4 linked regions of the Drosophila melanogaster genome follow. The protein of the gene in region 1 interacts with the protein of each later gene in a pairwise test. Each region holds a gene or a part of one and is shown in the gene's direction. Other genes may lie near its edges.

What was found.
Region 2: the proteins of Spt (region 1) and dah interact in a two-hybrid assay, tested with the Drosophila melanogaster proteins (one large-scale study listed by BioGRID).
Region 3: the proteins of Spt (region 1) and U2af38 interact in a two-hybrid assay, tested with the Drosophila melanogaster proteins (one large-scale study listed by BioGRID).
Region 4: the proteins of Spt (region 1) and CG9173 interact in a two-hybrid assay, tested with the Drosophila melanogaster proteins (one large-scale study listed by BioGRID).

The regions. Positions count from the first base shown.
Region 1 is NT_033778.4:8,918,850-8,926,407, reverse strand, and holds Spt (spitting image), read left to right. Parts: upstream 1-3,652; 5' UTR 3,653-3,758; coding exon 3,759-3,839; intron 3,840-3,901; coding exon 3,902-4,069; intron 4,070-4,128; coding exon 4,129-4,455; intron 4,456-4,511; coding exon 4,512-4,836; intron 4,837-4,900; coding exon 4,901-5,623; intron 5,624-5,686; coding exon 5,687-5,788; intron 5,789-5,851; coding exon 5,852-5,901; 3' UTR 5,902-6,138; downstream 6,139-7,558. Other genes in the region: CG8237 (uncharacterized protein), read right to left, coding at 1-646; CG8243 (uncharacterized protein), read right to left, coding at 1,705-3,140, 3,293-3,410; CG8248 (uncharacterized protein), read left to right, coding at 6,318-6,884, 6,942-7,058.
Region 2 is NC_004354.4:15,325,737-15,333,394, forward strand, and holds dah (discontinuous actin hexagon), read left to right. Parts: upstream 1-2,605; 5' UTR 2,606-2,707; coding exon 2,708-2,936; intron 2,937-2,999; coding exon 3,000-3,216; intron 3,217-3,273; coding exon 3,274-4,131; intron 4,132-4,195; coding exon 4,196-4,313; intron 4,314-4,375; coding exon 4,376-4,535; intron 4,536-4,597; coding exon 4,598-4,965; 3' UTR 4,966-5,266; downstream 5,267-7,658. Other genes in the region: Top1 (topoisomerase 1), read left to right, coding at 1-2, 80-182; CG9114 (uncharacterized protein), read right to left, coding at 5,291-5,751, 5,808-7,206.
Region 3 is NT_033779.5:290,920-297,922, reverse strand, and holds U2af38 (U2 small nuclear riboprotein auxiliary factor 38), read left to right. Parts: upstream 1-3,241; 5' UTR 3,242-3,438; coding exon 3,439-3,482; intron 3,483-3,550; coding exon 3,551-4,301; 3' UTR 4,302-4,920; downstream 4,921-7,003. Other genes in the region: Stip1 (stress induced phosphoprotein 1), read right to left, coding at 874-946, 1,112-2,219, 2,295-2,577, 2,643-2,651; CG11562 (uncharacterized protein), read right to left, coding at 4,921-5,206, 5,263-5,354. UniProt on the Drosophila melanogaster protein: Necessary for the splicing of pre-mRNA. Binds to the polypyrimidine tract of introns early during spliceosome assembly.
Region 4 is NT_037436.4:1,418,912-1,426,210, reverse strand, and holds CG9173 (uncharacterized protein), read left to right. Parts: upstream 1-2,739; 5' UTR 2,740-2,848; coding exon 2,849-4,150; 3' UTR 4,151-5,012; downstream 5,013-7,299.

The DNA.
Region 1 (7,558 bases):
GCGTAGCCCCTTGGTATAGGTATGTCCACAGCGCTTCGTAGCAGCAAACGATGAACTTGGTCAGCATTTCGATTAGCAGGAGGTCGGTGGACATCGAAATAAAATCTAGTGATGTGTCAAAGAAGTTCGAAAAGAGGTCTTCTTGGTCCAGGGTGCGCCGAATCACGTCCTCATCGAACTCTATGTTGAACAGGTTGACCACCCCGAAGGTAATGATGATTTTCACAATGAAAAGGATGAACATATCGATGGTCTCCGCCACGGCGCGCTTCCAAAAAGGTGACAGAACGTACTCGTAGCCGCCAAGACGCTGTATGATATCCAGCTGGGCCGCCTCGCCCAATATCCGCAGGCCGCTGAAGTTTGGCGCAGGCAAACGAGGCTCTGCAGCTGGTTCTCCCGGCGCAGCAGCCGAGCCCTGAACCAGTGCTTGGGGTTGTCCCATGGCGGCTGCTTGGAGAGCAGCGGAAGAAGGCAGTCCCGGGAACATGGTCGGGTAGTTGGCCATCAGGTAGTAGGGAAACATGAGCATCGCATTCTGGGCCAGCGTCGCCTGTTTGGCCCACTCGGCGAGGCTTTCGAAGTAGGCTTCCTTGGTGGAGCGCTCCGTAAGCTTCTGACCCGTCTCCTCGCCTTGTTCACCCATTTTCTCAGTCTCACAATGATCGATTTTGTTATTTGGCTGGCTTTTATTTATTTATACAAGTTGACGTGTATTGCAATCGGTAGGGTGTGTCGGCGTATCGCTGCGAATGACAAATACTGCTAAATACGATTCCCTGTGAATTTCAAGCAGGGCGGGAAAATTTAAGAAGACTCACTTTAACTTTTGATGCGAAATATTTGATAGTACGTAAAATTCGAAAATATATTATTCTAACTTTTTGTACATACAACTATAATGTTGAATAAAAAGTAGTTGGGCAACCGAACAAGAAGCTGTTTATCTAATGAACTAAATGTAATGCATTTTGTAGTTCTTTAATATATAAATTAAAAGCACGAGGTCATACATTACCCGTATTTACTTACTTTGAAATCAGCGACACAACGAAGCACATACAATTGTCTGAATATTTTATTATTACACAGTTCGAAGTGGTTTGATTTCTTCCTTAGACATAGCAACTTAAGAATCGAATACAATAAATCCGTTGACAACCCGCCATGATATTTTAGATTCACATTGACAAACAGGCGTGAATAAGTTCTTAAGGATATCAAGCATTTAAAAAGTACTGCGCCAGAAGTCTACACCTTACATTCGTACCCTGGCGTGGACGATTTTGAATGCATGCGTATCAAATACCTAGCTAATGTTGAAAAATAACATGTACATTTGATTGGAAAGTGCATTACGTTCTGTGGTTCAATTTTCAATTTTAAGTAGTTGGGTGTTACACGCGTATGTATGTACCTTTTATGATTTAATTGGAATAGATTTAGACGAGCAGACGCGATTCCTGGTGGACATGGAGATGGACATGGACATGAACATCGTTTAATACAGTGGCTTGCTCGACAATGAATTCTTCTACGAACACGAATAGGACAACTAACTAAATTGGCAAGTTGTTGTATAAATCGAATGTATATAAACAAGCATCGCCGTCTCACACACACATGTTGCAACACCGAGACGAACCGAACACTCGTGTCTTACAATTAATTAAAGGAATACAACTACATAAATACACCGCGTATTTATTGCCACACATTACCGATATTAAGATTCCCAAACTGCTGGTTCAGATTTGACGGTACTGAGGAGGTGGTGGGCCCCGTTGCGGCAAATCCGCCCGCTCCTTGTGGCGGTTGGCCAATGTTCAGCCCACTGGGCAGGGGCTGCATTAAGTTCATGGAGAGGCCGCCAAGCTGTGGGTGATGTTGCTGCTGAAGCTGCTGCTGATGTTGCTGCTGCTGTTGCGGAACAGCTCCAAAGAGCGGCATCCCACTGAGAATGCTCTGGTTCGTTTGCATAAGATTTGTTGCAGCTGCCTGGCCTGCGGCAGCATAGGGACTGCCCCCGGTGCTGGGAAACTGGGCTCCAGTAAAGCCATGGGAGCCGCCCATGCTCATCGCAGTGGCACTGCTGATGGCAGCATTGCTGAACGCATTCGGTGCAGCCATAACTGGCGAATTATACATGCTCACCGAGTTCGGCGGTGTCATAAACTGGTGGGGGATCTGCTGTTGCTGCTGCTGGTGCATATAGCCGCCTGGGGCCATGCCCGTGAAGCCGCCAAAGTTCATCTGGGGGTTGTGGGTGGCTGGCGCGCTGCCGTACAGCGCCAGAATGCTGTCCTTGGACATCTTGCCAGACTGATCCTTCTCGTTGCCGCCGGCGCCCAGTGAGCCCTGGTTGAAGAAGTCCTGCTCCTCTTGTGCCAGCGAGTTCGGCTTCGAGCCCATCAAATTGGCGGCGTCGCCGTTGCTGCCAATCGGCTTATCCGGCTGGCCGGCAATCGATTCGGCGCTGAGAAAGCTGGTGAAACTTTCGTTTTGCAGGTCTTGGCTGGCATTGGTCGCGACAATGGGCTTGGTGGGCGAGGACAGTCCCAAGAGGTCGCTTTCGCCGGCACTGCTAACGCCGCTGCTGTTCAGCTGGACGCGTTGCGTCGTCTTTGGGCTGCAGCCGCCGACCTGGTTGGGTTTCGGCTTTGGAAGCGGCGCGGGCAGGGGGGTGTTCTTGAGCGCCGACGCAGATGACCCGGACAGGCGCTTGTCGCCGCTGCCACCGGCCACTCCAGCCAGGCCCAAAGTGGCCTGGGCCTGCGTGCTCTTCTTCTTGCGCTTCTGGCGCTCAAGCTCCTCGTCGATCTCCTTGGCCCAGTCCACTTTCGGCGGCGAGGGAGGCACCCACTCGCGGGCCAGGTACTTCTTGTGCTCGTACTTGGCCCGGATGAAATTCTCCAGCGCTGTGTCCGTCTGCGGGCGACGGAAGCCGTCCGGCAGCTGCGCCTCGTAGACGGCGCGAGCCCGCGAGTTTCCCATCTGCTGCAGCGAGATCACCTGCTCTGGCGTCCAAGTGTCCAGGTTGACGGACTTGACGCGCGATATGTGCACGCCCAGATTGCGATGGATGCCGGCGCAGCGGATGCAGAGAAACATGCCCAGGTTCCAGGAGGCCCAGCGCGGACCTAAGGATAAAAGGTAGCATTCAGTGACAGCACATAGGCTCATATCGCAGTGCAGCTGCATGTGTGGTGTGTATATCCACGCACGCACGCACACAGATGTGCGTCACCAAGAGGCGTATCTCTTGGCGGAGAAGTGGACCCCATTAACATACCCTTGGCATCGCAGTCCACGCAGTACTTGTTGTCCTCGTCGCGGAGCATCTGCGTCAGGAGGGTCTGGCACTTCTCCTGAATTAGCTTCGTGCGCTGTCCCGCATTCGAGGAGCTCATTTTGGGGTATGCTTGCGGTCTGTGAGGCCTGGTTTCGATATTTGTGGCGGGGCGCAACTGTGCGACGTGGCGTGGGCGACGGGTAGAGTTGGCGGAGCTTATCTCTGCTTCACATGGATATACAACTACCAGCGAATTGAATTGACAATTTTCTACAAGTTTTTGCTACCGAAAAAGTGATGCGTCCAGTGGGACCGTGTGGCGGTGAAGGCAGCTAGCCTCCCTGGTTGTCACTAACGCCAAGCCGTGCCATCTTGCCATTCACAGGGAACCGAAGCCACTTTTTAAAAAAGTTGTTTACTTTTACTTCTGCCCACAGAACATTTGAACTCACATTTGCCGGCAAAAATGGAAATTTTGCGAACGAAACTAGAGGCCTGCCTGCTGATACTGAACAGGAACAATGCAGCAGCTGCAAACTGGCTGAATGTAAGTGGGGGAAACGGACCACTAGCCCCAGGACATCAATCACTTGTTGCTTTGAATTTCAGGACCTGTGCGCCGTGCTATTGGAATTCGCTACTTTGGCCCACAGCTCCTTCTGCTCCCAGGGGCAGTCGGAGTGCTCGGAGCTGGTGTGCCTCTGCCTCAGCCAGATTATGATCTGCATTCGCCAAGTGGAGAACACCATGAAACTAGAATGCGGCACCACAGTCTCGGTGAGTAATTTGGATCTCATCCATGCATTGCACAATGATGTCTAATCCTCTGAAAGCAGGTAAGTCATCAGTACTTCCTGGACCGCATTCGCTGGTGCCTGAAGCGCCTCATGCATCTTTACAGCGAAGAATCGAGTTCCGAAGCAGTAGCTCCGGAGCGCTCGTTCCTTAAGCTGGTGGATGGCGCATTGGATTGTTTGGCGCAGTTCACCTCGCACAGTGAGGAAAACACCGATACCTCCAACTGTCCAAAGACTCCCAAGGAAGTCCTTCCACTCAGCCAGAAGTTGCGCGCCAACATTGATTTGATCTTGGGTCAATCTCTGGGATTCGCCAATGTGGCTTTGTCTCAGGACAAGAGGGCTCTCAGTGCCTTGTGCCAAAAGGTGGGTGTACATCTTCTGCAGTATCCCCTTATTTATTCCCCTCATTTGTGCTCTAGGTCATCCGGGAGTGCAATGCCTTTCAGGAGGAGTGCAAGGAGTCATTCAGTGCCAACTACCTGTCCACCCTTAAGCTGCGGGCCATGACCATGGAACAGGCAATTTACCAATTGGAGGACTTTATCAACGATGCGCTTTTGCGCTTGGTATTCACATGCTTCCTGGACTTCGAGAAGTTTTCGGTAGACAAAATTAGAGCGCTGTTAAGGAACAGCCCAGATAATGATGATCTGGCCGATGAGTTCATAGCGGACTTTGATGTGAACATAGATCGCGCCACCCAGATAGGCATTTTTGCCATTTCCTTTGCGCCCAACTTGAAAAGTATAATAATTATATATAATTATAAAAAAAAACGCAATTAACTCCAGTACCAATTCCTTTTCAGTGAAAACCATAATGCGCAGCTGTCTGGCCTCCTTTGAATCACTGGACACCACTCTGATACCTTCACTGCAGGCCCATGGTTCCGATTTGCACTCGGACATCCTAGAGCAGCACTTTAACGAGGAGGTGGCCAAGTTCAAGGCAGCGCTTCAGGAGATCATCGACAGCCGCGCCCTCGTTGGTTGTTGCCTGGAGATACTGACCTCAGGGATAAGTGCAACGGAAAAGCTTTTCGATAAGCAGCGATTGGAGGACTTGGTTCAAATCTCTTTGCTGCTAGTCGAGCACTTTCAGCTGGAAGTCAACCGAAAGGGTCTAAGCGAAACGCAGGACCGATTGGGGGAAGAGTACTACCAGCAGTTCATCCGGGTACTGCGCGAGTGCAAGGCTATTTTGATGTGCGCATCCCAGGTGGAGCCGCAGAGAATCCTCAAGCGCTTCAAGATCTTGCGCACGATCTTGCGCAAATTGCACGGCTCCCTGGGAGCTGGTAAACAAGAGGAGGAACTTCCTATTCCCCTGGCTCCCCTTTTAGCTGATGATACCAAGGGGGTAAATGAAGACGAAACCCATTTCACTGGCTATAAAACAGCCCGAAGCGGCAGTATCCTCTACGACACAGAGCGTAGGAATAGAGTAACTAGACGAACGGACAACAAGCTACCCACAAATACCTTGGACATTAAATCGGATAAGGCAAAACCCCATGGAAATGTTCTGAGAAGTAAGTCGGCTGATGTTTAGATAAATTTGGTAAGGTTACCAATGTTTTGAATGCTATTTTCAGGAGAAAGTTTACGGACTGTCATGTTCAAGCGGCAGAATATAGCTGAAAGCAGAAAGCTATACACCTCCATGAGTAATCAGTCTACGGATCTACAAATCACAGGTACCTAAAATGATTACATTTCCTATTTTATAAGTTTTTCCATTAAATTTCGTATATTTTTAGATATACTCGACCAACTCACTGGAATGTCCAATGGATACTTTGAATGCTGAAGCATTTCAACCATTTGTACATAACTTTTTATTTAGTTTAGTGTTTAAGTTCATACCATTTAAGAGATTTTGCAATTCAAACTTAACGTACGTCGCCACCTGAATGTCATAGGTCAGGTCAGGCATACACACAAACATGTATGTTCCTCGGGTGGCGAAGAGTATCGCATCGGAAACAGTTTAGACTGTTGTAAAAGTAGAGCAATAGGTTCCAATAAATATATAGACACATAGCACACTTGTCAGCGCATCTCCCTCGGTCGATTGACCTTTCAATTGCACTGGACACCCTCGTTCAACCCAACATGTGAAGCTGTGTGGGCAATCCCTATCGATTTTCCACCACGAGCGGCAGCCAGGACTCGCAGTCAACAGATACACACGGTAATTGCTTGGTAAACAGTAAGCACTCGGCTATGAAATCTCTGGCCGGCGATAAATTTGCTCTGTCCGAAGAGATTGGGCCACCGCCTTGTTCTCCCAAACACCGAAAAGCAAGTGCCGTGAGTAGGGACACGGATACAAATAACCATCATGTGGTGCCGCTGGGGATCCTCGTGGTGCTCTGCACTGTGTATCTCATGGTAGCCGGGATGCAGCGCAACTACAGGCACTATTTTAAGCCGGGCGTGGCTGCCTTCGACCTGCACCATGCCCAGCCGGAAGCCATGGCCGACGCCGAATTGGATGTCGCCGCTCCAGATGCATCGTGCCAGAGGTTGGACGTTTTCGGAAAGGAATCCAATCGGAATCAGGCAGTTTCAAGAAGATCCCAAGGCAGGCCCACGAAGAGAACCAAAAACGGCACTGGAAATGGGGTCAGCAAGCAACCTCGTCGTTTGATAAAGTCCCCGGAGGGGCACAAGAAGAAGGAAGTTGGCAAGAAGAGTAACACAGCGGAGCCCATTATTTACCTGTTCGCCCTTGTGTTTGTCTATCTGCTTCTGAAGGCCGCCTCGGACATCAACCAGCACTACAAGTCGGTAAGGATAACCCGCATTCCATTCCCTATTGCCACGTGAATAATCCTTCTTCGGCAGCAGAACAAAGGGGACAAGCGACTGCGCCGGTGCTCGCTGCAATCTTATGCCCAGATCCACAAGCAGGATCGCCGGTCATCAAAAGGTATTTCACCAAAATCTTTGCCAAAGTTTTAGCTCGCTGGGGGCCAGGTGCCTAGCCTATTACACCGTGTTAACGAGGGATCAAGTGAATTGTTATCCTATAAATCTAAATGTATCTACCACTATGTACTGAACTAGCCAATCTTCTCTACTCTAAAGCACCAGTTTTCTGACTTTTTCGGAAAATGTATTGTTGTGTATTGTGTATCTCTCGTCTGTCCTCAATCTCTATACATCTATACATCTGTACATCGCACTTTTCGGGCTCGATTATGCGTTTGATATCTGTGTTTTTGAACGACCTCCACTGTTTACCTCCTCTTCACCTATCTGTGAAACTGTACTGAATCCGAATATAAGGTTGTACATACTCGAATGTATATTACTGTCCTAAGTGTACGTAATCCTAAAATAAATCAATTACTATGTGCTTTCCTGTGATCAATTTACATACGTAGCCGTGTTAGCTTGCGTTTCATTTCCTCCGTTCGATTGGGCTTTTACGCAATCCTCTGCGATCCTCTCTCACCCCG
Region 2 (7,658 bases), on another chromosome or scaffold:
TGGTGAGTGGTCTCTCCCTTCAAGCAGCACATTCCACTCAACGAGAACTAATATATATATATATATCATCCATTTGCAGGTGTAAAAAGCATGACGTGCCGATTGAGAAGATATTCAACAAAACGCAAAGAACCAAATTTCTGTGGGCCGTTCATATGGCCGATGAGAATTATCGTTTCTAAATGGGTTCTCCTCACAGCCACGCCTAGACACAAACACACAAGTACGCCGACCCTTCCTCCACCCACCACCACCCCTTCAGACACACACACAAACACACACTCGCACCCGATCGAAGAAGATGTAACAACAAACCACACCCACCACAAGGCCGGTTTATAAATAGATTCCATGCCAATCCCGCCATTGTTTGGTCCACAGTTTATGCAATTGATAGTGCATATGTCCAGCTTTCGGCCAACGCAATGGGGGATTGTTAGCCAAAATGAGCGGGACGGAATGCTGCACTACATCGTAGTCGTGGAACCGCTTGTACGCGTCCGTTTTGTCTGCTTTGAATGGGATTAATGGGATCAAGTGCATACTACGCCGAAGTCTAACTTGCGAAATGTGCACACCCAAACACAAGCTAATCCAATATATGTCAGTTTTATTCATTAAAGGCAAGAGGAGATGTGAAACCTGGGCAAGACGTCGCCGCCACCTAAAAACAAATCAGGAGCATAATTTTCTATGTCTCTACAAAAGAACTTTTTTGTCAAGATACCCTTATACTTCATAATTTTACATATAAAACATATATACATATATATATTTATATTTATGTATATAATAATATTTGTGTATATATTTTTATTTTTAATATAATACATACATTTACATAAATATATATATATAGATATATATATATATATAAAAATATAGATGTATATATATATCTATATATATATATATATATTTAATAGCAAAAGCAAACGAAAATTATACAATTTAAAACGCAATTTTTTTTATGTTTACCTATAGTTGATTTTGTTTAGCGAAAACAAAAAACAAAAACAAAAACAGGCATTTGTACATAACAAGCCAGCAATTAGTTACCAAATTAGATATTAACTAAATTAAGATATAATAACATTGTAAATAAATATAGCTGTAAGCCCCGTAGCTAATGCTATACTATCTAAGTTAGTCTAGTTTTGTAAACTATTCTATCTATCATAATAATAATAATAATTTGTATAAGTGCAAACTGAACAGAGAAACCTTGTAGCCCAACTTTTAGCATAGCATAATTTATTCAATTCAACTCTGAAGCAGCGCTATTTGTCGACCGACCGCCCCCGAAAATGAAGAACAAAGCCACATTGGATGGATCTCGATGTGGTTTCGCTTTGATTTCGTACCTTATGATCATTTTAGTTAACATTTCGAAATATACAAATGCTAAATTGATTTGCAGACAGACCCTTAACTTTCTATACTCTAAGCAGACAGGTTTCAAGTTCTCAACCGCAAACCAAGCCGCCATCACACTGAAAACCAATTGCAGATACAAATCAAACGAGCAATTCAAATAACTCGATGAACCAAAACAGAAACACAGCCAGCAAACCAGTCGCAGCGAAAGAAAGAACTTTAATCTGAAAGAAAGGAACTTTATACATATAGAATCTATAGAAGTATGTGCAATTAAGTGAGCTAAAACTATACCTTAAACCTTGTAAAAATCGAGCCTTCACTTGAATCCTTCAGTCGACGAGAGCAGTGGATTCAGGTGGAGTTAGGAACATCCCCAACATCCATGTGCCCCAATCCCATCAGCTACGATTATGGCCGTACTTTTAACTAAGCAAATCGATGGAAATTTATATCTCGCCTCACGCCCCCCCTAGCATAAATGGCAAACGCGCATTGCAAATGAAGAGCGAACGATCTTTATATACATACATATAAACACACACACACACACGCCCAAACACATATTATAATTAGTGATTGATATAATGTGAACGCAAACATCTGTGTGCGTTTGTCGTGGATTCGCATACGGAAGCGGGAGAATGCTTTTAAAAGGCAAAAAAAAAAGTTAAATAAACTAATTACGAACCCTTCTTCGAACGCCCAGCCCCGCCCCGCCCCGCCACAACACTCACATATAAACTTGGCATATTATAATATTGATATAAGCAAACAAAAAACAACAAGCGAAATGATAAGAAACCCACTATTTTAAATCGAAAGCAAAGTAAATGAAAAACAAAATAGCATAAGTGAATGTAATTGCAATGGAATGATGCAAATATACATAAAATATATATTTAATTTTAAAATCTATGTGACACTCTTTCCATTTCCTCGTTTTGGGTAATTATTCGCATTCAAAAGAAGGGTTTTTAAATAACTTTGTTTTGTTTTTGAAATTGGGAAAATACTATGGTGAACCCAAGTTGTTCAGTTTACATTTCCCGTTGCTCAAACTTATTTACCAATTATTATATCATGGTCAAATATTCTTAGAACGAACGGATGACTTAATTAATGATAATAATAATTTTGAATCAAATTTAAAGCGCTAACGGTTCGGCGAAGTGATATCGATAACACGCGCGGCGTTGCCACCTCACGCCACACAATTTGACTTTTGCGCTAACGGAAGAGGAAGAGATCGCGAGAAACGACGCGTTTAAAAGAGACTGAAATTAATTCGAGAATCAAGGGAAATATATAACAATAAACGCCTGACAAAATGCTGAGATCGTCGGTGCCCGTGCAGCTGACAAAACTGCGAAATAGCGCCGAGGCCGTGGCGTCCATTGCCCGCGAAAAGGGATCCCAAGGTGGCCAAGGACAAAAGCAACAGGTGGACAAAGAGCTATCCACCATCATGGATGACTTGCAGCGGGATTACGGGAATTACAAGTACACGGTATACCGGTGCGCCAGTAAATTTGTGGCGCTGCAAAAGATATTTCACAGTGAGTCAGTCGCGTAGGTGGTCCATTCGAAGGAGTCCCCAAGGATTAACCTTCAAATTGCAGCTGGAAAAATCCCCTACAAGCTGGTTTTGGCCATTTTGGATCGCCATAACTTGAGTGGTGGCCTGGAACTGATGGTTCCTCCATTCCAGTTGACCTCCCTGCTGCACGATGTATACTTTGCCTGCGAGAAACTAGGCCATTTCAACCAGGATGCGAACTATAAACTGGACAGGGCAACCGGGCTGTTGGCCAACTTCTTCTGGAATGTCTACGATCCGTGGGTTGAGTTTCTGGCATCTTAAGAATATGTCTGATATTTGATTGGTTTCGCTAGGCAACGCAGACACTCCATATCCCTGTTAGAGATCAGGATCACCTTCATACTGCTGTGCAAGCTATATAGCAGCGATCACCTGGTGGGCGACATCTTTGGCCTGCTGGCCGATCCCAAGTCGCAGATCATCTCCAGATATGCATTCGAACAGCTCCTAGCCACGCTGAGCAAGTTACTCAGCTATTTGGGCGAGGCCAAGGCCTATGGCGTCCACAATCTTCCGTTGGCTATGGAGCAGTGCTTTGCCCGCTGTCCGCATGGCGTTGGTGGACTGACCGAGCCGCAGTTCCACAAACTCTGGACGGGAGCGGGTGTCCAGACGAGATTCCTGATCTATGGCAATCTGCTGGCACTGGTGAAACGCATCGAGGACACCGAGCATTTGATTCACAGTAATTCTTGTGCCGGCTGCCGCAAGGAGCACATTGTGGGCATACGTTTCCGGTGTCAGGTGTGTAGGGATATATCGTTGTGCCTGCCCTGCTTTGCAGTGGGCTTCGCTGGTGGTCGCCACGAGCCGGGTCATCGGATGTGCGAGGTCTTCGTGGAGGATCAGCCGCCATTGCGTTGGACCCGCCACCTGGCCAGGCTGTGCGGCTGGCTGGTGATGCCGCGCAAAACACAGGAGGAGGAGCGTCGCGGCTTCTGTAATGCGCAGGAGAGTGGGCCCGCCTTGGGTCAATCCGCTGCCACGCCCATTCCCGCAGAGACGCGCAGTGTGCGCAGTCAGTGCCAGGAGAAGGACCGCACAGTTGTCCTGCAGCAACAGCAGCAGGAGCTCTGCTCCCTGACGGGTCTAGCCAGCGAGGCGTCCAGCAGGCTGCAGTCCATCATCGATCGATTGCTTTTGCAAAATGCGTGGGTGTTTTCCCTTCTTTCGCCACACTTGTTAGCCAAGCCTTAAGGTTCTCTTGCATTTCAGGAAGCTGGAAACCCAGCTGCAAACAGTGGCCACCGCATCTAGTTCGGAAATATCGCAGTTTCTGAGCGCCCATCAGTGCTTTCTGCTGCAGATTATCGAGGATATGCGACAGCTATCAGTGAGTTTTCCAAACATTCGGCCCATTTAAGCTGAGCTAACTCCATTTATATACACTTGCAGCATGCCTCAGCGGTAACTTCGCCGCCACCTGCGCCAGCTGCCCAAGTGGCGCCTTCAGCTGCGCCCCTAGTCAGCTCCACGTTCCTTAGCTCCAGCACGCCTCAGCGACAGATGCTATTCGACATGTATGCGCCCGTGGGTGCCAATCTCACGCACTCCAGTAAGAAGAGAACCTTCAACAGAGCCATGAGACAGCTCCACTAAGTTAATCGTTTCTTGTAGTAAATGGCGCCGACTTGAATCGCAGCTATCTGGAGGCAAACAAATCGGATTACTCGCTCAACGACATAAGCTTGTGGTTCGACCAGCGTCGCTCGAGTGTCCAGCCAGGACAAGGACCTGGTTCCCTGCCGGCTCCTCTGCCGCTGCCCATGCCGCTGGGTGCTCTACTGGAACAGCAGCCGGCAAACGGCGGAGATGGCCGCGACACCGAGATGGTGAACTTTAAGCTGCTGCTGCACAAGGTCAAGGAGATCGTCGAGGACTCGTACAGCGATAATGCCGAACTGTCGGCGGCCACGCAAAATCTGGAGAACGTTCTCGATAGCATCATCAAGAGCGAGGAGCAGCAGCGGCGCATCAGCACGTGAGGATCCGGATCGGATACCAACTCCCATCGATTCCAGCCAGACCAAGTCCACTTAGCTTTAAGTTGTAAAGTTGTTCTAAAGTAATCGTGACAAAATGACACAACCGAGTCATGCATTTATTATATCCTTCTTCCTTTTCCCATGTGCTTTAACATTCGCGTAAATGCTTTAATTTGTAAACTTACAACTCTGACAAGAATGCAATACAACAAAATGTTTTTATAAAAATATACAATGCAAAAAACACATTGTTAACAAAGCATTTACATACAAAATATCAACTTTGTAGATTTTCCAATGCAAAGAGAAGAAAAAAAAAACGCATTTACGCCCCATTGTCATCATCATCATCGGTGAATAGCATAGAAGCCAACACATCGCTGGCCATTTGTGCCTTGTGGAGCTGCGTCAGCTGCTCCCGGCGCTGCTCCACACTGGCTGCCGGCTCACTCAAAACCTTCCAGGCGTCCATCTCCTCGAACAGACTGTTTAGCAACTCCATCTCCATGTCGGCAGGCGACATGTTGTGCTCAGCGACCTCTAGCACATTGAGGTTGCAGTGCAGCTGGAGGAGATCGCGCGTCAGGCGATGCAGTAGCAGACGCAATCGATCGTCCGTTCTGGCGTACACATGCCAATGCTTTCCGGGATCGTCGCGAAGCAGCAAGGTGTCACACCACTGTGACTGCGGCTGGCGATTGTAGAAAATACGCTGGACAGGATCGGCGGCGATGTTGGAAGACTGAAAGTGAGACCCAGGCTCACTGTCGTCCAGCAAGTCGGAAGCTGTAAGGGATTATGAGTTAAAAGGGACAACAAGTGGTCTTGACAAAGCTACTCACTCGGCTCCTTGTTTGCTTCCTGGGCTTGGATCAACTGAAACTGCAGCGTGGAGACGAGTAGCTGCTCGAATGTCGTGCAATCCTGGGCCGACTGGAACTCCAATTTCAGGGAGCAACGTGCCGTGTGCGTCATAATAACGGCCAAAAAGTCTTGGTGCAGCGTGGCGGGCGAAAATGTGGGTGCCAACGATTCTGTTTTATCGAGCAGTTTCTTCACATCGAAGGTAATGAGATGGATTTGCCTAGGGGATGCATCCTCGCCCATCTCGTACGTTGCCATCAATATGAGTTTCTCTGCCTCAAGAAGATCGACCAGACGCAGGCTCACTACCATCGCGGCAGATCGTTCCGGCGGTAGTATTCTTTCCTTCTCCACCGGTCGCCATTTGAGACGCCTGCTATGCTGATCCTGGCAGGCCCAAAACTGCGCCAGCTGGTCGTAGTCCTCGGGTGGTTGGCCATCCGCCTGCAGAGGCAGCTCGTACAGGCGGTGCTCCACGCTAAAGTCGGTGTGTGGTTCGATTACAACAATCGGATACAACTCCTTGACTATGGTGAGGCGATTGGTGCCAGTTATGTTGACTAGCAGAGTGCCACAAACAAAATAATCGCCGCAGATCCGAGTCCATACATCGCCGAGTCGTCGGAGCGGCTGCTTCTCCTCAAGGAGCAGCGAACGCTGGCCCGGCGTGCCGAAGTATAGAAGGTCTTGGACGTGGGCTAATTCCTTCTGGTTTTGCATTCGCTGGCTGTCGAGCTCGGCTTGGGCGCGGTGCACCTCCTGCAGCAGGTTCTCGAAATCCTTCGCGGGCAAGCCCGCATTTTTGGACGTGCTGGGCTCCTCATTTAAGAAATCCTCCTGGAAATCACAACGCTGACGCTTGCCATTGCCGAACTCCAGTTCCACAACGGCCTGGAAGGAAATGGGACCTTCGACCATCTGGTAGTCCACCACATCCTTGTGATCCGCCACCAGTTCGAAGTTGGCCCCGTGATCCTTGGGCCTCTTTAGGACGACGAGATGCTTCCAGCACTGAATTAACAGGTAGATGCCCTCCCGTTGCCACACAAACTTTCCAAATTTGAGGGGCAAATCCTCCGGCGGATCCAGCATGCTCCAGTCCACCTTTTCGTCAGTGGGTTCCTGCTTGGACAGAAAGGGACAAACCGGTCCGTCGTAGGCCTCCAGTTGGGTGGCTATTTGCTTTAGTTTCGTGACCTTCAAATCGATGTAGTGCACCAGATCCTTGCGCCGGAATTCGTAGAACTTTAGGTTTCTCGCTAAAACCAATGTAGTGGGGTCATCCCGCGGTCGGCCCACGTGAAGATTGGCGCAGAAGGCCAACCGGGCCGGCTGGAGCAGCATCTCCGGCACATTCTCCTGGACAAACGGCAGCATGGATGCGGAAGCCACAAGATGGATGTGGCGCCCTTGACTCGAAAGCCCTTCGAATCGATAGCTATTGAATTCAAGTAGTAGTTATCGATGCGGTGAACGATATTAGGCTATTTTGAAATGGAAAAACCAATATTAATCGAGTTTCGAATGCTCCTTTTAGCGAGAGGTAAGTCTTTAACACCGCATAAACACAATCAGTGTTGCCTAACCAATCTGTGCCCTCCACTTTCTCTCATAATCAAGCAATTTCTCATAAAAAACGCACATCGATAAGCTGATAACGTTGGCCCTCGACTAACACCGATTATTCAACAAGTTGTGTCAATCGGCGGAGCAGCTGATCGTTGTAAGTAGCAAGAAGAAGACGCCACACAAACATTGCACTCCGCTCCGCCCGCGCGTTCTCATTTCCCATCTCTCTCACTCTGTCTCTCGCGCTCACCGTCTCTCTC
Region 3 (7,003 bases), on another chromosome or scaffold:
AACAGCGCTGTTGTTGCCATGCCACTTGCTGCGAGTGAGCTGCAGGGCCTTTGTAGCACTGGCGGCTTGCAGTGTTGAGCAAGACGAAACTACGTATCGGTTGGATATAATAACGTAAGCGCGGGAAACAGGGCTGCCCAAGAATACAAAATATTTCACACATTATAATTACAAAAAGGTTGGCCAGGTTGTTGCTTTTAATCATTTTAATTTCACAACTTAATTCATTCGAAATTATATTTTTTCAAAATAAAGATTTGCAGTCTATGCTTTTTTCCGAAAATATGCGATTTTGCATTATAATAACATTTAAATTTCTTATTTAAAAGGCGATTGGCGCAAATCATTCTTTGTATAAATATAAAATATATTCTAAATAATTTGGCAGCCCTGGAAAAACGTTAGAGAACGACTGCTAAGCCGTAAGTTACCCATCTTGTAGCCCTTGGGCGCCAAATTCAAAATCATAGCTTACCCTTCCGTGACTCGTTTATTGTACAAACAGAAACTTATTTTAGAGCTAAGCTACAGCATATTTATTGTAGTAAGAAAATAAGGACCATGACGTTTGGAGCCTACTCCACCCGTCTGCGTAAATCAATTAGGCAGACATTTATCAATGATTTTGTTTTCTCCTTTTAGTTTAAATTTCTGTTAATGGTAGTTATCGTCGTTCTGCGAATAGGCGATGTGATTTCTTAGGTAATTACGTTTAGCATTAATTGTGGCCCGTTTCATCAAAAACGATATATTGGTTAACCAGCTTAGAGACGCCATAATAATGCGTAATGGTTCTCTCCTGAATGTTTATCAATGGGGTTTGTGTGTGAGTTAGTGATTGTATGAGGATGTTCGTTTGTGGATCTGGAGTGCCTAGTGAATCTGAATGATGCCCGACTCCAGCAGTTTCATTATCTTATCGGCGATGGCAGGATTCTGCAAGTGTCTGAAATATAGAGGTTGTTAATTAAAATATAGTATACAGGTTGTTAATAATATATAAGACCAAAGAAACGTAAGTCTGCTTGTTAACTTCAAATGGGCTATTAATTTCTAGATTTTACCAATGAAACCCAAAAAAGCGAACGAATAAAGCCAAACGGGTACTTACTCTTTGACCGCATTGGGATCGCTTTGCATCTGCTCGAGGATCATACGCATAGCCGGATCCTTTAAGATCTGTTGAATCTCCGGGTCGGACATTGCGTTTTTGAGGACCTCCTGCGGATTGCGCTGGAAGTTCATCGAACACTGACGGTAGCCTTCAATGGCCTCCGCGTTGTTGGGGTCCAGTTCCAGGGCCTTTTGGTAAGCGGCTTGCGCCTTAGATTGTTGCTGCATGCCCTGTAGAATTTTGCCCTTGCGGATGTAGCCCTTTATGAACTTTTCGTCTAGCTTGATGCAAGTGTCGCAGTCCTTGAGGCCCAGATCAAAGGCGGCCAGCTTGGTGTAGCAGGCGGCGCGGTTACTATAGAGTTTGGGATCATCCGGATTGCGCTTGATGGCCTCGGTGTAGTGCTTTACAGCGGTGCTGTAGTCCCCCTTCTTAAAGAAAAGGTTGCCCTGCTCCTTCTCTTCCTCGGCCTTCTCCGGATTGATGTAGGCCATTCGCTCCTCCTCCTTGATTTTGGCTTCCACCTCGCTCAGCGAGGTCTTGATCTCAGGGGTGCGATGCTCGGACATGGCCTTCTCATAGTAAACCTTCGCCTGCTTGTAGTTCTCTAGCTTACGATAGGTGTTACCGATGCGAGCAAAGGACTTAGCTATCAGCTTAAAGTCGGCGCGGCTTTCGCGCCCCACCTCAATGCCCTTCTCGCACTGCTTGATGCACTCCTCGTACTCCTTGCGCTCAAAGTGAACAGCAGCTATGTTGTTATAGAACGTGATATCCGTGGGATCGTGTTCAATGGCAGCGTGGTAGTGTTTTAGGGCCGTTTCAAAGTCCTTTTTCTTGTAGGCGGCGTTGCCCAGTTCCTTCTCCTTCCTCGCGAAGTACTTATTCTTCTGCTCCTCAGTCATGTCCTCTACCCGAGGTTCAGCGGGCTTTGGGGGCTCAGCCGGTTTCGCCGGCGGTGGCGATGGAGCCCTGCGGCTGCGTGCCTGCTGGGGATCAACGTCCATGGGTATATCCCCCTGCGATTGCATAAAGCTCAGAGCCGAGGCAGTAGTTTCCATGCGGCCTTGCAGGAGTATAGCATTCGTGGGATCGTACTTGAGACCTGCGCCGGTAACCGAGGTTAGTGAGGTTAGGTCGGGTGATTCATGGCATATAACTGAGCTGTGTTTGAACTTACCCTCGTTGTACGCTTCGAAGGCCTTCATAAAGTCATTCAGACCCGCAGCGGCAGCTCCTTTGCGTGAGTAACCCTTAGGCCAGGTGGGATTAAGCTGAATGGTCTTCTCCGCATCTTCTAGCGCCTCCTGGAACTTTCCAGCCTTGGCGAATGCCGCCGAACGGTTGCTGTAGAGCACATGGTTCTGGTCGTCCAGAGCGATGGCCTCTGTGTACGCCGCCACCGCCTCGTCGAACTTCTCGGCACTGAGCGCCTGGTTACCCTTTTCCTTGAGTTCGTTCACCTGCGAAAACCGCAAGGGTTTTTGATTGGAAATGCCAACGCCTTTCCTTTGTCTCGGGCACTTACCTTGTCCATTTCTGATAAGGGAGAGGATAGCGCTGTCGAATTACAGTTTTTCCTGTATTTTTGTACGACTTTTTAATAAAACACGCTGCGAAATGTGCCGTGCCAGGTGAAAATGCGAAAAATGCCGACTTTTCTAGAAGCAATCGATAGGGTTGTCAATGCTTCTGCGACTGAATTTAATCTTTTTCCAGACTGCGGTTTAGAACTTAGCTCGTTCTCAAGCGGGGAACAAAACCAGCAAGCCTTCTTAAATAATTTTTTCCATTGCTTATATAAATTAAAAAAATTGTTGATCAAATATAAATAATACCTTGAGCTTTATAGAATTTAAATGTTATTTTATTGTATTGTTTATTTATGTTTATATTATATTATTATTTGCGTAAATAATTTTCTCAATTTCTTATTTTGAATTGTAAAATTTTTCTAGTCAAATGAAAAATAAGTCCTCAGGCTTTTAAGTGCATTAATATTTAAATATTTGAAATTAATATTTAAAATGTTAGCATATTTTAAAACATTTAAATTAAGAACAGAGGTATCGAAAAACGATGCTGCCAAAAACACTAAATATCGATAACTAATCATCGATTTTATTTGCAACTCTAGATTCGAGGCTGGCAACGCCGTGCAAAATACGACCAGACGCTGCTTTTTTCGGTTTCCGAAAATAATTGAAAATTATCACTAAATAAACAGGCGGCTAACATAATTGCAGTTTGACCGCGTTGCAGAGACAAGCGGGTAGATAAGTTACACATTTTGGCCACAGCAACACCACAGTAAAGCCGCCAGCATGGCCGAGTACTTGGCATCCATTTTTGGCACGGAAAAGGACAAGTAAGTCGCATGGCACATTTATTTTAACGTTGCCGGGATTAATAACTAAATGGCGTTGCATTTCCCAGGGTGAACTGTTCGTTCTACTTCAAGATCGGCGCCTGCCGCCACGGCGACCGGTGCTCTCGCATCCACAACAAACCCACTTTCTCGCAGACGGTGCTTCTCCAAAATCTATACGTGAACCCCCAAAACTCCGCCAAATCCGCGGATGGCTCCCATCTGGTGGCCAACGTCTCCGACGAGGAGATGCAAGAACACTACGACAATTTTTTCGAGGACGTGTTCGTAGAGTGCGAGGACAAGTACGGGGAAATCGAGGAGATGAACGTGTGCGACAACCTAGGCGACCATCTGGTCGGCAATGTGTACATCAAATTCCGTAACGAGGCTGATGCGGAAAAGGCGGCAAACGATTTGAACAACCGGTGGTTCGGTGGTCGACCGGTGTACTCGGAACTATCGCCGGTGACCGACTTCCGCGAGGCTTGCTGTCGGCAGTACGAGATGGGCGAATGTACCCGCTCCGGCTTCTGCAACTTCATGCACTTGAAGCCCATCTCGCGTGAGCTGCGAAGGTACCTCTACTCCCGCCGCCGTCGTGCCCGCTCCCGTTCCCGATCCCCTGGACGCCGTCGCGGCTCCCGCAGCAGGTCCCGATCCCCGGGTCGAAGAGGAGGCGGCAGAGGCGACGGTGTCGGCGGAGGAAACTACTTGAACAACGAGCGGGACAACATGCGTGGCAATGATCGCGGAAACGATCGCGATCGCCGCAAAGGTGGTGGCGGAGGAGGCGGTGGTGGTGGTGGACGGTATTAAATATTCTGGACATTTTTTCTGTACGGTGGCAATTGAGAGAGAAAGCAACGGACAAGCAGTAACGCAAAGCATCGTGTATTTTAGTCTCTGCGTTGGTTTTCCACGTTTTTATATCACTTTTGAGTAAACGAGATGGAAGGAGGAGGAGGAAAATGACGATGGGGAGTTCCACCACCTATGTACAAACCCCCCGCGAAATATTTTACCGAGCGCCCATTAGAATTGTAATTTACTATACATACATTCATAATAATAAAATTGAGTAATATTATACTGGAAGCCATAGTAAGAAATGGGTCTAATTGTCAAAAAGTCCAGGCACTCAAAATAAAAGACTCCTCACAGGTATGGATAACATCCAGAAGACACCACCCCTTGTTAGGCCTGCAGTCTTATTTCGCTTTGTAAGATTGAATCTTACCACGTTGTTTTAATTATATTTCCATGCGCAGATGGCTTCACCAACTGAAAACGATCAACAGCGTAAATGATGCTGTCAACTGTCTTAAGACGAAATCTTAAAATCTTCAAAAATGCGTACATTTGAACAACGAAATTCTTGTTTTCCCCGACTTAGTCTTAGATTTTAATAGGTGCATATTTAGGGGCATATTTGTGATCAAGCTATGTCAGTTGGCGGGCTTCCATCGTGATTAGTCGTTCCACCCTGAGGAACACCTCTGAAAGCCTCGCCTTCATTTTGCACTGCTGGCTTCTCCGCTTGAAGATTACTCTGTGCGCGATGCGTCGATGGAGGTACGGGCGTGTCAGAGGAGTTGCTAGACGCCTCCCTGGCTTTCAGTTGCTTGGTCATGTCTATTTGCTGCTGCAGCGTGTAGGTATTCTCGTGTTTGCGCCGTTGTTGCTGCTCAACGTCCCTCAGGACACCATCGTGCAGTCTCAGGCTGGAAGTTAGAGATCGGAGGCTATAACTTTATTCCGGAGTATTTGGCTTACTTACCGGTCTGCCGATTGTTTATAGTGCACATAACCTATGATCGCTGTGGAAATGGAGACCGCCAGTCCCAAAGTCACTCGCGAAGCGGTCGACATGACTGGGCACCGGTCTGCCGCTGGAGATTTCCGCCTAAAATGCCTGCACTAGGAATTTGGCTGTCGGGTTGTGTTGTTTTGAAGTCGGTTCGGGTTACGACATGACTTTAAATTTGAAAGAAAAACAACAGCACCACACAGCTGACAAGAGAGTGGCCAGTTTACGGAAGCAAAGTTTTCCCTATCCAGAGTTAGTGCGCGGGAAAATCAAATTAATTCCCTTCAAATCAGCGCAACACTTTTGGGGGTCCTAAAGCCAATTGCAGTTAGAAAATCTCAGACTATTGAAAACTTGAAGCTTTAGACGAAAATACAATTTCGAAGTGATGTATATAATAGCGATTTCCGTATCTAGTATCTACATACATATGTACTACAGAACTTCTAGCCTTTATCAATGACTTTTTATTTAGGTTTTTTATACTTTTATCTACAGCTATGACGCAGTGCCTAAAAATAAAAGCAGATGCTTATCTCTCCGCAAAGATATCTTTTTAGTTATGCCTGCATTGTTTCGACTCATCTGGTTACTCACTAAGCAACATACATCTTAATGGGTGGGGGCGATTCATTCAGGTGATTGGCCATCATTAACCCATAATGGAGCCCACACTCCCGAATCCGGAATGCGAAGCCCGGAGTCCGTCTTCCGTGGTCGGTGGTCCGGACATGCGCAGCACGCACCTGATGCGAGCGACTGGAGGAACGACACCACAAAACCGAGGCAGAGACAGAAGCAACAGCCAAGTACAATGGAAACGAGTACAAAAGGCAGGAGGCAACACGGCGTATGGGCAACAGTGCGACTCCAGTTTTCCATACGCTCAGTTGTGCCCGCGGTCAAGGGAAAATCGCAGCCGAGCACTTCCTCCGAGCGAAGCCAAAAAGAAATCAAGAAAATACTTAGCGTGCGTGTGCCGGGGACCTGGTGATTTGTTCAGAGTGTGGAAATCAAACGAAAGGCAATCAACAATTGTTTTTAAGGGCCATAAAAACCATTAAGTTATTAACATAACCGATTTATAAACAAGAGCCACGGGGATCTTCTTCCAGGGCGGTCAAGATTTTCAAGATTTTTTCAAGATATTCCTGGCCAACTTTAGGTTCCATTAATATTTATGTCGGTGACGCAAATATTGATTTAAATTTGTGCGCGCTTTGAGTTGACGAAAGCGAGGTGTTTTGACTCAAGAGCTAAAACACCTTGACGACGATTTTAATTCACTTCTTTCGCCCCACCGCAAAGCACAGACAAAAACAATACACCAATTTTTCTTTTAAAATTGAAGAAAAATTTATTTTCAGTTTATCAAGGGATAGTAGTTCTAAATGGTTTCTTTCTTTCTTTGCCTAAAAAAAAGTTTTATACTTAGCACTTTGTACTACATGAAAATTTCACAATTGTTGATTTAGATATATAATTAAATTATGCACTGTATATGGAACACTGAAATGTAGCGAATTAGAACTTGAGGAACATATTGCAAAATTTTTCTGCCCGTGTAACGTGAAGTCTCCTTTGGCTTTTCCTGTGTAGGATCTTTGAAAAATCCACAAGATGACCAAAGTTGAGCTATACAAGTCGCGCGTCTTTGTGACAATCATACACCTGTGTGCACTCGGCCAATTCGCCTATGGACTCTACTACA
Region 4 (7,299 bases), on another chromosome or scaffold:
CTTTGAGCGTCGCTTCTAGCTCATTTTTAAAGCTGGGGATGACCTCCGAGGCTTTACCTTCTAATTCAAGAAGTAGTTCTCCCTGTTGCGTCCTCCTTATTTTACGCACGTGCTTGCCGAATTCGGTCAGACTCGGTTCTGCTTTCATCTTCCGGAGCATATCCGAGTACGTAACCTCACCCGTTTTTTTCAGGATTAGCGCCTCAGGTTTTTTGCGCAGGCGCTTGGGCTTCACCTTAGCCCATTCCTCGTCCTTGTTAGCGTCCTTGGCGACAGACGCATAACTTTCCGGTTTGGAGTCAGCCGTCGTGGGTAACGCCTTCCCGGTGGATTTCGCGGCAGATCGATGGTTGTCCGTTTTGCGGACCTGCACATTCGGTAATGCCTGTCTGGGTGGCGCCACCTGGCTACGCTTTGTCTTTTCTGCCTCAGTCTGTGTGGCAGTACTCCTTGGTGGGGGCTTCTTGTTGATACCCTCCTGTAACTCAATCGCTCTCTTATTGAGCGCCGATAGGTCCACTAGCACGCCCCTATCCTCGCTGGTTACGTGACGCCTAGTCTCGAACGAGGATAGAATGGCGGTGATCTTGGCTTTCATCATGTCCAGGATGCCCTGCAGGTCCTCATTCTGGAGCGTCGTGGTCAGTTCTGGCGAGCGATGCGGCGATCCTGATGGGGACTTCGCTCCCGCCCTTTGGGCCGGCACGCTGATGAAATCCATTGTCTTCAGGCTTGTGGCTGTCGTGGAGACTGTAGTGGCCAGAGTCTCCACCTCCACAGCTGCACTGCAGTCGCTAGCTTTCGGCGGCGGGGGGCCTGCTTGCTCACCTCCCCCTCCCTGGATTTGGGTTCCGACTCCTCTTATAGGGGATCTCGATAGCCTACCACTCCTCCTAAACGGGTCGTTGGGGTCGGGGGCACTGCCCCCCCCTGTTCTGTCCATCAGATATAAAAGGGGGACTTTGGCTTGTTGGTCCCCAGCGCTCCGTGGGAAATAGAACTAGCTTCAGTTCTTAGGTTATATTTCAAATTTTTGTTCAACTTAATTAGTTCAAATTTGAATTTGAATTCGAATTTCGCGCCCAACGAGCGCGCGGCCGAATGACGATCGCACCGCTGATCTGGCAACGCCAGTCTAACCAGCTCGTCGACTGCGAAAGGTTGGCAATGCTATCAGCTGTATTGTCTGATGCAGCTGATCTGATTTATTACCAGTTTACTGGATCACTCGTGAATTCCGGAACGACACCGTGACGCTCAGAAACGCGGCGCAAACCCCAGAGTGGATTTGCAGGTTTATGTTGCAGTTTACGGCTGACCGGACTCGTATATGACGAAATTCGCGCAGCGCAGCAAAAAGACGTGCGAAATACGCGGGACAATGGATGTGTGTGTGTGTGTGTGTGTGTCTATGTGGAAGGTAAACACATGTCTACTTTGAGGCACAGCAAAAAAAAAAAAATATATATGCAAGTGTCGATGATTTAAGTACATTTATAAGTAGTACGAGCAAAATACGAAATCTATAGCTAGATTGCTTCTTACAACTAAAATCAAGTTTATATCTCAAGGATGTGATATTGTAAGAGAATAGAATACGATTTTTCCCAGTGTGACTTCATCTTCAGCTTATTCCTACCCATCTTGGAGCTGCTGCCATTCATTAATCCACATAGAAATGCCAATGGCAGAGTGAGATGTTGATGGTGAGCTGGTACAGATGGAGATGGAGATGGTGAGGTGATGGTGACCAAAGCGAATGCAAACGAAGGCGGCTGAGGCGGCACAACAACAAAGCGGCCAAGAGGCCTATTAGCCACAATAAAGAGGCAGCCTCACCCCCTTTCGAAATCCCCAATGCTCATACCCCTGGAAATTCTATTATGCAGATGAATGGATGGATATGGGACTAACCATCCGACTGCCTAACTGACTGGGTGTTTGTGTGTTTGCCCCGCCAGATGCCATTACAATGTAAACCCAACAAAAGTTCATTCGGTGGACTTGATGCGGGCATGGATGCGGAGACGTCTTCATCTCATCCACGTACTTCTTCTCCACATATCCGAGGCAGCAGCACTTCCAGCCACCGCAGCGGAACAATTGATCAAATATCATAATTTATCAAATGACAATGCAACAGGCGGCGGCCTCTGAACGTTTACGTTCCCGTATTTGCTTGCCCCAATCCCCACACCAAAGACACCGATCTCCAATTCCCAAATCCCCCCAATCCATTCGAAAGCTACAACTTAATTTATTTGAACAATTTAGGTCTGACACAACAGCCATCGTTTGGCTCTGTCGTGTTCTTTGCGCTTATTTATTTCGATGGTCAGTCGGCTCGAATCTATTTAGCATAATTGCAGCTACGATCAGAACCGAGACCCGAGTCCCGAGATAAAATAATGCATTCTTGTGTGGGGTCTGTGTGTAATCCTAGATAGGGCCACCAGTGGGTCAGATAACCAAATTAAAACAGGCTAGGGAAAATATTGGGACAAACCGATTATTGTTCTATTATGGTAAACTTAGCCATGGCATTAGTTCCAATCGAAATGGGAAGTGCATTCTTCATCGAAGATTGTGCATTCAAATCAAATTGTGTGTCAAGTTTGCTCACAAATTGGTAGGTTTATGGATGCCAGATAGGTTGACAATACTTTTGTATTGGTTAGTTTATGAGCTTTCTTTTCATGGAATAGCCAAAGAATTCGATACAGTAGTCTGCGACTATATGGTCCATCAGAAATCTGTGTATAGCATCTACAATTTTTGTGTTTTGTCAAAAGTGAAATTTAAAGTGATACGTTTGCTGTCTCCTTACTTCATCAACAACCAAATTGCAATGGACAATTATGAGAGGGCCAGAAAACTGCAGGAGGAGGCGGGAGTTCCTCCTGGGGGAATCAAGCGGTGCTGCTGCAACTGCAGGAGAAAGCTGGATCCCTACCAACTGTTTGACGATAATGTGGAGGATATAGCCAAGAGCCTGGCGCAGATAATGCTGATCTGTGGCATCAGCACAAGCAAATCCAGCGCTGCCAGGTCGATAATTAAGAGGGCTTTCGTTTACCATGAACGACTGCGCACCAATTGTCCACCAAATCCGGCTACTGACAGTCGCTTGAATCGGGAGGACCTGCTCCAGGCTCTGCGACTGAAGTGCGAAATGGAACCGGTGGAGGCGATGCTCACCTATGCCATCATCAAGCGGGCCTTTAAGGCCTTCTATCACGGCAAGCCACCGGTGACGATCAGCAATCCCATAGTGGATGCGATGGCGGTGCACACCCAATATGCTGCTTGGATGCATGCGGCGCACAAGACATCCAGGATCTTCGACAACTACAAGGCGGCCTTCTTTTGGGCCCACAAGCACTACGAGAGGCAGATCAATCTGGTTTATGCAGCGCTGTATCAACGGATGACTACCAGATCGGATCCCCTCCTGGTGCCGGGCTGTCCTTGCAAGGGCTGTTCCAAGCAGGAAGTTCCCGGACATCCCAAGGCCGGCCAAAGGCAAATGATGAAGATCAAGCTGTCGGAGGGTGCAGATCTACCAGAACCCTGCATCATCTGTGGCTTGCAAGTTCCGCAAATGGATAAGGAGGTCAGGATGAAGAAGCCACCGCGTCCGATCATCAACCATGAGGTTAATCTACCCAGATGCCAGCAGTGCAATTCGCCCTTCCTCATCTGCGAATGCAACATCGATCAGTTGACGGGCGAGCAGTTTGGCGAATGCGGCCAAGACTCCTACAAGGTGAAGTGGTATCGTCTGGAGGAACCAGTGGCCATTTCCCAACCTGTTTCCCAACCGCTTGGCGAAGAGGAGCAAGATACCAGCTATGATGAAGCTGTGGAACCCCCAGAGGACTGGGACAATCACCATTGTCCCATCGACTGCAAGCACGACTCCTGCAGCGAGTCCTCGAATGTTTGCCACAGCACTTCTTCATCTGCATCTTCGGGCAGTGATTTTGCCACCTGTTCCGACGGCGTGGACAAAGAGGAGGATGTTGTGGCCAAGCTGGAGGATTATCTCAACAAACTGTGGGCCGAGGAGGTGGCTCAGAAGAGGAATCCATCGTATGTGCCGCGAACGATTCATCCTCCTGGTCCGAAGTGTATGAAGTGCAACGACTAATTTTGTACGTTTAAATTTTGGCTATATAAATTATTGAGTGATGAAAAGAGAGCTATTGTTGACCCTTAATAGCCAGAAACAAGTAGTCTAAGTACAGAACGTGTTTTCTCACCTCTGCTACCAAGTTTGGTTCAACGAGCTGCCACCATGCCACCATGCCACCATCCGGGCCACCCACTCCCACACCTGGGGAATCGATCGCCCACACGGGAGCCGGCGCTTATCACACGCCCACAGATCGCGTCTTGACAATGGCCACTTAAAATGCCATTGCCGGTTGTAATCGCCACTAAATTGCTGGCACCTCGGCTTATTCGCGGCTGGAGGACGGAATGGGACGTGGCATTCGATGGGATGGAGCTACTGTTGTCATCGCCGGCTGCTCCGCCCAGCAGCTCCCAGGAGCTTCCACATAAATCGCTGCCTTTATCTAAGCACTTGCATCTCGCGCTGGAACAGAGGCTCCTCCAAGCTGCACCACCAGGATGGTGCGGATCCGCGGATTCGGGCCTGTTCACGCTCCTCGCCGCTTATCAATCTCAGCTCATCTGCACGCAGAACAGAACAGAACCGAACTAAACCAAACTGCAACTAAATGGGCAAAAAGAACCCAAGTCGAAGAACATCTTCTGCGAAAAATAATTCCGCAACTTGTCACATTTTGTAAGATTCAAAGTCGCAGAGACAGGCACTAAACTGCAGACGCCTCTGCGCCAGGGATTCTGGGATGGGCCTGCAATGAAAGGAGTCCTTGACTGTCGGGATTTAACTATTTTTATAGGGTATTCGTAGATAAAGGGGCATACTCGAATGTTAACAGCTACATAAATATAATAATTATTAATGGCAACATATTGATCTTAATTTTATAGATGGTTTATTATTGGTTTAGATTTAAAACTTTGACTTTTTATCATTATCATTCCTGTAGTCGAATCACCCGTGTTTACCCTACATATTTTTGGCTAGGCCTAGACTTCACCCTCGAATTGCCGCCTGCATCTCCATCTGCCTGTCGCTGTGGCATGTTAAACTGGAGTCACATTTGCATATAGATTTATTTTTATGTCCACTGCCTTCGGATGGCTCGTGAACTATTTATGTGTGACGACGATCCAATCGCTTGGGGGAGCGATCTTTGGATGGATCCGCGATCGGTTCTTGCCCAAGAGTTGTGCCATTAAGCGATGCCCATTAAATGTTTGGAAATATTGGAATATCTCTAGATAATGCCACGTCTTGCCAAATTTCTAATTATGATATGCTCACATTGAGTTTCTCTATTAGCCCAGTTTTGATGCGTCTATGTCTGTCTTCCCATTCCAAAAAATTTTTTTTTTTGCTTCGGCATGTGTGTGGTAAACAAAGCTCTCACACTCAATTGAGTGCCACTTTTCGGCTTCGGATGAAACTTGGAGGCAACTTGGTGGAGGCAGTTCAAGAGACGCACGAAACCATTGAACTTTTCAATAGCCATCAAATTTGCGTCTAATGCGAACTGAGACTCGGAAAGTTTCCCGCCATCGTCTTTCAATTTGTTATATCCCTGCATTCAATGCGCACTGCAGCCACTCGAAGTTCACTTTGATAGTTCGAAAATCATTTGCACTCGGAAAATGCATTTGAAGTTTATATATATGAAAAGATAAAACATAAGTTTATCAGATGCCCAAGGCAAGCATTAGAACTTTACAAAATTTCTTTGTGTGTACATGCGGCATCTATCTGCTGCATTGTTGTGGGCCTGAAGCTTAATGGTCTTTTTATAGCTGCTCTTTTTCAACTTCAATTAATGAAGTGTCGAGTTGTTAACACCAAAACACACGCCCAGCTCCCAGTGGTGCAGCCTACTCCCACCGATACCCAATCCCCATGGACCGACCTCTATTTCCAAACATTTCGCCCAGCCGCGGGATGGGAACAAACTTCGCCGCGGCTGCAGGTGGGGGGGGCAGCCGAAAATGTAAACAAACAAATTAAAACGAGCATCGACACGGCAGCTGCAGACTTGGCCTCAGGTGAGAAAACGGGCACACGGAGCCGGGAGTTGGGAAAGCGATGGTCGAAGGGGGGTGGAAAATGCATTTTCACGGCAGCGCCAAAAGCAAACAATCCAGACGGCAGCCGAAGCGGCCAGAAGCTCTTTAATCCCGAAAACTTTGGTAGCACTTAGCGGTTTACGAGGCTGCCGAGCAGGCCCTCAAAGTATTTAGATATCAAAGTGGTAAAGGTGATAAAAAGCCATCCATTCCATCCGCTGCACTTTTGGCGACACTTTGTCGAGATTGAGTTGTTAAAACTGGATGTGTGATTAAAAGTGAAGCTATGACGCTAATTCAACTTTTAGTGGGTAAAGAGGTAAACCCACTCATGGTCTTTAAAATGTAATCCAAAATCTGGTTGACAATTGATTACATCTGGGGTTCCCATGGATAGGAGAAGCCTCTTAGCCCGAACTTCCTATTTATTGATCAGTTAGTACACTTCTCACATCATCCCATTGTGGTTGAGTTTGCTCCGCCGCTTCACGGTGTCCAGCGTGATCCGAAATCAGTGTGGGAAAACAGTTGGAGCGACGTCAACTGAAGCGCCGCTTCCACCTGAAACGCCGAAATAAATGTGGAGAAGGCCGCCGCCAACGCATCCGAGCAGTTGGAGTCCGTGGCCAAGAGCAGTGAGAAAAATGTTAATGATAAACCTGTTTGTCAATTAAACAAAAAATATTGTAATAGTTGATAACAGAATGGGCAAACACGAAGTGCAGTGAGCGGGTGTGAGAGGATGAGAACTTCCCAGAACCCAGAATGGTATATTGTTGGGGCAAACGGGGAGGCAGGGAGGGAGTGGAATTGGGATTGGGATTGGGGCAGGGTATGCAACAAGGGACAACCTGTCAACCCAAAAGGAGGGCCCAAAGGCTGGACTGGCTCGATGTGCTTGACTTTGGTTTCATTATCGCCTCGCCTTCAACTTGAATTTTACCATGTCCCAGGCCCAGTTCGAATCATCATGCACTGCGAGAAACGACAAGTAGCATAGCTATGATAGTGATGATAGGATTTTAAATTGGTTATGACACCTTTGTTTTTCGCAGTGCACTGCCCCATTGGCTTCACTCGGCCAGTTGGCTGCACTGGCTTATTGTTTAG